2 linked regions of the Caenorhabditis elegans genome follow. The protein of the gene in region 2 purifies or fractionates together with the protein of the main gene of each other region. This does not show direct contact. Each region holds a gene or a part of one and is shown on either strand. Other genes may lie near its edges.

Region 1 (4,173 bases), on a different chromosome or scaffold from region 2:
ATTAGGTGTAACCTAGAGGAAAATTTTTGAGTTTCAAGTAAGATTATGCCTATTTTTCTTCCATACTTGTTTCAATTCTCGTTTTCAAAAAATCAACAAAAAAAATTCCTGGAAAATTAAATATTTCTCTTTTTTTTTCTTTTTCAATTTTTCTTGGAAGTCAGAACTTTTGGAATTTGGAGAGCGGCAAGCAAAGTGAAAACAATCAAATTTCTGATCAAAAACTATAGCAAAACTATCTAGTTGAGCATGAGAATTGATTATTTTCTGCAATGCGGGTGCTTGAATTTGAAAGATTGAATTGTTTTCTATACAAATTTCAGACTATTTTTGTTCATGAAATCTGCAGTTTTAATATTTCCGATTTTTACAAATTAACTGGAAATTTCTGAAAATATTCATGCTTCAATTTTTAGATATTTTCAGATATTCTGGGTGTCAAAATGGACATAGTATTCGTGTATAACATGTTCTCAGCTTTTAAAAAATATAAATTTCAACCCAAAAATCGCAATTTCATTTTTTCTCCATTTTTTTGGAGGCAAACGTCCACTTTGGTTTTTGAGAGCGGAGAACGATTTTGGAGATTAACCAACATTTCTGATAAATTCTTTAAAAATTCAATTGTGGACTTAAAATACCGTGGTTTAACAAAATTTGAAGTGAAAATGTTTAAAAAAATTAAATGGGCAAAAATCAAAAATTTGAGAAAATAACCAGAAACTAGGAAGCCGGTAGACCATGAATTGCTACTGCCGTTTATAAATCTGCCCCACCAGCAAACTATGTTCCAAAATAACTTGAATTCAAACTCCACAAATTTTGTCCCGTTCCAGAAATCTTTGATCCACTGAACTTTTACGTGCACCTGTTACACTTTTCCCGCCGGATCTTGAGTTCAAGCTTCTAACAAGTAATAAAACAGCCTACGTATAAATACATTTATAACATTAACATTCGAAAAACCAATAGTTCACCTACTTCCTTCTCTTCCCTTATTATTTCTTGTCAGAACTCTCTACTATAATTTCGCAGTTTTTTGTCACTTTGTTTATCCCACTTCTTCGTATTTTTCCCTCTTCTGCCTTCTTCTCACTTTTTTAAAGCAATCATTTGGTTATATTCATACTTTCTATAAGTTTTTGGGAAGAAGAACACTGATTTTTGATATGCGTCTTTTCTTTCGGAAAAGATCCCCGAGAAAACTCAAGTCTAGTCTCAGATTTTGACAAATTTAAGTGTTAAGCTGACAAGGAAAAGTTTCGATTTTTTTAAATGTTTCATCGAAAATTAGGATTTTCAAAAAAGCTCATTTTAATAGGTCCCCACAAAAATTATACTGCTTGGAAGCATTTTAAACAAGGCAAATTAGATTTAAAAGATTTCTCAAAATCTACAGTTTTTTATTATGCTTTGGGTCATAGGAAAAGTTTGAGATCTTTTCAAAACAAAATTATTAACCCTAAAAAATCTAATTTTTTCCACAATGAATATGGCTAAATTTTCAGTTAGGATTTATTTGATTTCCAAGATCTAACTGGCCATTTCCACAATTTAAGCCAAAATTCAAATTAGTTTTCAGCCTTGTGAACGCGAATTTATGTTGCTCTGTTCCCCGTCATCCCATAAAAAATCAGCCGTCTTCCGTTTTATGACTACTTCAACACACAAAAAATCCAATCATCATTCCATTGCCACGTCATAATTGAGGCTTATTCAATTTGTCTTCTTCATGTTTACTCACTCCTTCTCCTTTTTCAGAGTCTTTCAATTTCAAATTTTCAGAACATTTCCTGATTGAGGTGATGAGAAGTTGTGCTTAAGATTTTTAATAAAACAAGTATCGTTATAAATCTATATATTTTCAATGGGTGCCACATTATGTGCACCGAAAAAGAAAAAAACCGTGAGTTTTGAGCTTGATTCGGAAGATGAACATTTCTCAAAAATTTTTGGATTTTTTACATTCTTTTCAAAAAAACAGTACATAAGAATAGAGAACTACAGTACTCTTTAAAGACGCACAGAACATTTTAAAAAATTATTTTCCAGCAAGTCGGAGCATCTTGGGTCGGAAACGAATCTGAAAATCCATTTGACTTAGCCCTCAATAAAAAAGACCGTACTCTGTTACGTGAAACTTGGCAAAGGCTAGATGATCCGAAGGATATTGTTGGTCTTATATTCTTAGATATTGTCAATGATATTGAACCGGACCTCAAGAAAGTGTTTGGCGTGGATCGGGCTCCGCGAGCCGCGATGCTGAAAATGCCGAAATTCGGAGGGCATATTCTAAGATTCTATGAGTTCATGGAGCAGGTTAGCTGTCTAAACTACATTTTTAAGAGTATTTTTTGAACTCAAATTTATTATTCCAGCTCACGTCAATGCTTGGCACGTCTGAAAATCTGACGGGTGCATGGCAATTGGTACGAAAAACGGGAAGAAGTCATGTCAGACAAGGGTAAGTGCGCAGGTGCAAATGCCGTCACTTTGTATGATTATATAGTCCAATGCCATTTGATGATTTTTCAGTTTCTTGGAACAAAATCAGAACCAGATGGAGAAGAACTATTTCGAAATTGTTATAAATGTATTTATCGAGCGATTAATTCCATTTCTGACGGGTGAACAGGTGAGATTGTGGGATCAGTTAGGTCAAGCTAGTTTGAAAGTTCAACTAATTGATTTGTTGGAAGGTTTATTTGGAGTACAACTCAATCAAATTATTTTCTAATAAAGGAATTAATTGAGCTTGATTTCTGAAAAAATCTATATAATTCGAAAAAGAAATTTTGCGGTCGAGAAGCATTTTGAAAATTTTCCCGAACGTAGATTAGGATGTTTGTGAGCGAGGAAATTACTTGAGCTGTTTTCAAAAAAATGTTTGTTTTTCTTTTTAAAAAAGGTGCAATTTTTGATCCAGTTGGGCAAAATAGTTGCGGGTTTTTTCAAAAAATTAGAATAATATTTTCAAATAAGTATTTTTAAATGTTACTTCAGATCGGATTTTTTAGTTCTTTGTGATCCTCTTCCTATAAATTCTTGTAGATACCTATTCGAAATAAGATTGTTTAAATTAAATTGGTTTTTTTTTCTAAAAAAGTTCATAATCTCCCCTCGTAAAACAAAAAACCTTTTCACCCAACAAATATGATTTTAGGAGCTTCCATCATCAGAAGGAAAAGAGAACAAAAAAGTGCGATTTGCTCAAAACTACACCACATCTCAAATCACAGACGTCTGGAAGAAGTTCTTAAACACAGTAATTAGTCAAATGACTGACTCATTTGAATTGGAAAGAGCAAAACAGAAGAGTGCACAAACAACAAAAGCCTTGGCTCCACATCAACATATCGAGATTTCGGAAAGGAAGAAGAAGAGGGTGGCGGTATGTTATTAGTTGATATCATACATTTGTTAATTTGATATTGGCATTTTCAGGAAAAACAAAGCGAGATTGAAAATACGGCAGTTTCAAATGAACCAAAAGCTCAAGAGCAAATGTTCGAAGATCCATTCTGAAAGTATATTTTTATAGTGATATACCATATAAAACATATTGACACTGAAAAAACACTGATAAATAAAACTGATTAAATTTATTGAATAAATGATTTTTTTTTGATTTTGTAGCACATTTAATGCACAAAAATGAGCTAAGCTTTTTTTGCTATTGCGTCACACAAAGACATGCAATTTTGGAGACAAAATAGCATTGCTGAATTAGGTTTAGATACATTTTTATGTGAATTGAAAGTCAGAGCCAATTACGTTATAGGCCGATTATTTTTCGAGTTTATGTATATGAGGTTTTATCCTCTTGAGGATCTATTCCATTTCGGTAAGAGGATTCAAAAAAAGTCAACTAACAAATCACTAAAAATTCAAAATACATTTTTCCGTCGGCAACATTTTAAAATCGTAATTATTTTGCCAAGATATGATAGTTACCTAAGCGTTTTTTGTGCTGTAAGTAGGACGTCAAGTTTGAAAATGCAAATTTCATTTTTCACCAATTTTTCAAACGATGTTAAAAAAGAGTATAGAATATTGCTTAGTTTGCTCTCCAGCAACCACAATTCACGATACTGAACAAGTTTTTTTTTAACCAAAATATTTATTAATTTGTTGAAAATATAATCTAACAAATTATTTAAACCGTATTTTTCA
Region 2 (3,995 bases):
GAAATGGAAAAATTCAATCTGCCTATTTTTCAACATTTTTCAAAAAGTTGAATCTCTCGGACTCTATTCAGCTGTACGGTATGTTTTAAGAATCTCAAAATGCAAATTTACAGAAATTGTTGCGAGACCCATGTAGAAAAACTAAAGTGTGTGTGTGCCTTTAAAGTTGGAATATCTCCAGTTGACTAATGATACCATATGAGTGTGCCAAAATGACCAATGTTTTTATTTCGATTCAAATACATTTTCGCCACTTATATGAGTTTTTAGGTTCTAATTTTTTTAATTTTTCAAATCTTTGTATTTAACCATAATAGGGCTTCAATGATGCAACAATGATTTCAATTTCTTTTCAAAAAATTAAAGGCTTCCACTTACAATTCTGAAAGTATTCATTTTCAGATGCCTGGAGATTCGCGAAATACCTAGCAGACGACATTGAACGTGAACTGGAAATTCCTGGTGTGAAAGTCTACGTGTACAGTACCTTCTTCCCTTATTACGAACAATATCTGACTCTGAGCACAACTGTATATACTCTTGTAGTTCTGGTTCTTTTTGTTGCTTTCGTCACGATTTCCCTATTTTTACGCGTTAATTTGGCTGGAAGTTTAGTCACTGGTGAGTTTTACAGTTACTTTGATATAATTTCAAATGTCTAGATACGTGAAATAGATTATTAATAAAGGAAGAAGGGATATGTAGGGCACATGACGTTGTGTAAGATAGTTGATTTAGACATTTTCAGTATTTGTACTCCTCTCATCATATCTTCACTTGATGGAATGGATGTATCTACTCGGAATCACAGTGAATGTAGTATCAGTTATCAATATGGCAATGGTAAATTCATATTTTGGTAGACACCTATAGGTAATTTAAGATTTTCAGTCTCTTGGAATCGCTGTTGAGTTTTTTGGGCAAATGCTACATGGATTCTATAACTCAAAAAAACCGAAAAGGGAAGAAAGAGCATTCGCTGCACTTGTCAGTAATGGATCTACGGTAACTTTACCAATTGTCTTCATATTCTAGATTCAAATACATTTAGACATTGTCCGGAATCTTCCCTGCTATCATGATCACCGCTGGATGTCTTTCATTTGCTGATTCTCGTGTGCTCATCACATACTTCTGCAATCAACTTGTTGGAATTGGTCTTGTTTGTGCAGTTCATGGAGTTGTTTACATGCCAACACTTTTGGCAATTTTCGGATCGGATTTCTATCAGAATGTGAGCAGTGAAGAAGAATCAACCGATGAAGCAGAACTGCAGGATACTCCTCCATCGACCACATCAAGTACTTCCAGCACTTCTGAAACATCTGTCTGATTCCTTTCATTCTCTTTTGTACATTTTCTAATCATTCCCGTATAGAATGATCTCTATGTTCGTTTACAATGTGTATGAATCCCTCTGAATCATATTTATAATAAAATGTGTTCTATGTGTGCTTTTTATTATAAGATCATTTTTTTAAGGAATTCCTCAATACGAAATAATATGTTTAACACGAATGTAATGTGGCCACTAAAAATTGCAAGAAAAACTGAGTGATGCATTCGCGCTCCATTGACAAACAATTTCTCTTTCACTAAAAATTTTCAAGATGCGAGCTCAATTTTGCATAAATTACTTTATAAATACTAAATTCCGTTATTTTCAAACGTATTTTAATTTATTAATTTATTTATTCCGATTTCAGATGCTCAGAATAGTCTTAGCCCGCTCAAGTAGAGCAATGAGCTCTGCTTCGCCAGCGTCTGCGTAAGTATCATTCGTTTCTCTTATTTCTTTCAATAAATAATCGTGTTTCAGGTCAGATAGCGACACTTCAGTTCGAAAAATTGGTAAAGCACTGGAAACTTATTTGAAACACAGTCAACAACATGTGGCGATGATGGAGAAACACAGGTTTATCGATTTTTGAAGTGAAAATCGTTAATAAAGCATTTTAAGAGCAGAGTTCGAGACAGGACGTCGACATCTTGCCAAAATGATGAGTCTTGACATTCATGAACTCGATCAAGAGGCAATTGACAGGTTTTGTAACAGTGTTTTGTCATATTTATCATAATTGGCATTTTCAGAGCAATCCTATATTTATTTCCTTCTGGATTAACCGACCCAAATGCTCGTCCAGTTATGAGACCACCAGATGAAATTCTTCCAAAATTCCAAAGATTCACATTTGACGAAGAAGGAAAACCAGAAGGATCCCGATTTTTCACATTAAGTCCAAAAATTTACGGGCTTTTGTCGGATATTGGAGTCAAAACGCATTCTGTTATGAAGTTTTATGATGAACATGTTGGAAGTCGATCGGTAAATCGAAGTGATTTGGAACCAGCGTAATTAGTAACCATTTTTTCTACTGAAACATTTATTAATTTTCAGAAATCTGAGCGGTTCTCAATGGGTTACAGCTGACAAATTGAAGAAAAAGCTCTCGGAAAAATTTTCAAAAGAATTGTACGGACAAGTCATCATTGCATTTGAGCATCTTGCTTCATTACCAGGATCAGCTATTGAACAAAAGTTTTTGATGGAATTCAGAGAGCCAATGACCGCTTCAACTGGATCCAAATTGTTCGGTCCTGCGATTCCTGAAGTGCATGTTTGTGCAGTGACCAACAGAAGATATGCAGAAGTGACGTGAGTTGTCCTTCTTTTAAAAGACAGCAGAGAATTTTTGCCAAAAATCTAATGATTTGATAACCTTAAAATTAGTTTTGCCATTAAAAATACTTGTAATTTTTAATTAAACAAATTTTCTCTAATTGTAAACTGAATAATTGAACAGTTTTTTTTTCAGAACACGATGTAAAGATACTCGTGCTACAGTTAAGGTCACAGACGCAGGAAAAGGAAAATTCGATATTGATGGTCTCCAATTGCACGATTTCAGGCATCTTCAAGCCAGGTATATTTTGCGAACATCGAATTTTTCTGATAACATAATTTCAGAGAGATTCTTCTTGCACCAATGATTGTCAGTCAGTCTCTCGGTCGATTTGATGTAACAGCGACAACTTCATGTATTTCTAATACTCTTCCAGAAGCACCAAACAAGGCGCCATTGTGAGACTATTAAAATTTGTTACTCTGCAACAGTATAATCACTTTCTGCAGAATGCGAAGTGGAGGAATGAGTGCTCTACCGCGTGCTGTTCGCCATGGAACTGCACTTTGTGTTGCCGCTTTGCAACCAGAAGCTATCGAACCACTAAGATTATGTAAGGACATTTATTTTGTAAAAAACTTATAAATTCCTAAATTACAGCTGGACTTCTAACACTGGACCCACGGAAAAACGAAAGAAGCAAGGTGAATCAACCGGGTGCTCGTGCTAAATGGATCTGGAAACGTCGTTAATTTATGAATACCCACTTTAATTTTGTTTTTGTTAATTGGTAGGAAGTTTTCAACTAGAATTCTTGTTTTTATTGTTTTTTTAGACTTTTGAAAAATGAAATTTATAAAATAGAAAAGCATACATAACGAGACATCAATTCAAAAATGGGTTTGGTTACTTTTCAGGGAAGGAATGCACTGGGGGGGGGGGGGGGGGAGGTAAAGTGAGTAAGTTTTTAATCAGTATCTACACGTTTCTTGAGGATGCAAAAGTGTCCGCCGATTTGGAACATTTCAATTTGGAAGTCGTCGTATTGAACTTGGATCGTGTGCACTTTTAGATCACGGAGTTCAGTTCCTTGAGTTCGAGTTGCCATTCGCATTGCATTGTAGGCAATTTGACGAGGGTTCTCCGCTTCGAGGAAAGTGCTGTGGGCCTGGAAAATTTTTTAATTAAAATTTCTTACCAAAAAAATGTGTAAATTTATATTTAGAATTGAGCAACAAGTATTTTTTCTAGAAATTATTTTATAAAATCTTACAATTGTATTTCCTTTGCAAATCATGAAAGCGAGGACTCCGGGAATCTGCTGAAGGTTTTCCAATGTGTACTTTGGCTTGGACTTTTTGTTTGATTTGC

What was found.
Region 1: the proteins of mrps-9 (region 2) and glb-12 fractionate together in Caenorhabditis elegans (co-fractionation; one large-scale study listed by BioGRID). This does not show direct contact.

Annotation. Positions count from the first base shown.
Region 1 is NC_003280.10:10,729,257-10,733,429, reverse strand, and holds glb-12 (GLOBIN domain-containing protein), read left to right. Parts: upstream 1-1,777; 5' UTR 1,778-1,867; coding exon 1,868-1,906; intron 1,907-2,052; coding exon 2,053-2,319; intron 2,320-2,378; coding exon 2,379-2,464; intron 2,465-2,535; coding exon 2,536-2,635; intron 2,636-3,163; coding exon 3,164-3,391; intron 3,392-3,444; coding exon 3,445-3,525; 3' UTR 3,526-3,626; downstream 3,627-4,173.
Region 2 is NC_003281.10:8,264,356-8,268,350, forward strand, and holds mrps-9 (Small ribosomal subunit protein uS9m), read left to right. Parts: upstream 1-1,706; coding exon 1,707-1,768; intron 1,769-1,819; coding exon 1,820-1,915; intron 1,916-1,960; coding exon 1,961-2,044; intron 2,045-2,091; coding exon 2,092-2,352; intron 2,353-2,398; coding exon 2,399-2,656; intron 2,657-2,816; coding exon 2,817-2,924; intron 2,925-2,968; coding exon 2,969-3,082; intron 3,083-3,133; coding exon 3,134-3,237; intron 3,238-3,284; coding exon 3,285-3,376; 3' UTR 3,377-3,486; downstream 3,487-3,995. Other genes in the region: ncr-2 (NPC intracellular cholesterol transporter 1 homolog 2), read left to right, coding at 1-78, 403-621, 749-843, 892-1,005, 1,052-1,333; F09G8.7 (uncharacterized protein), read right to left, coding at 3,592-3,792, 3,898-3,995.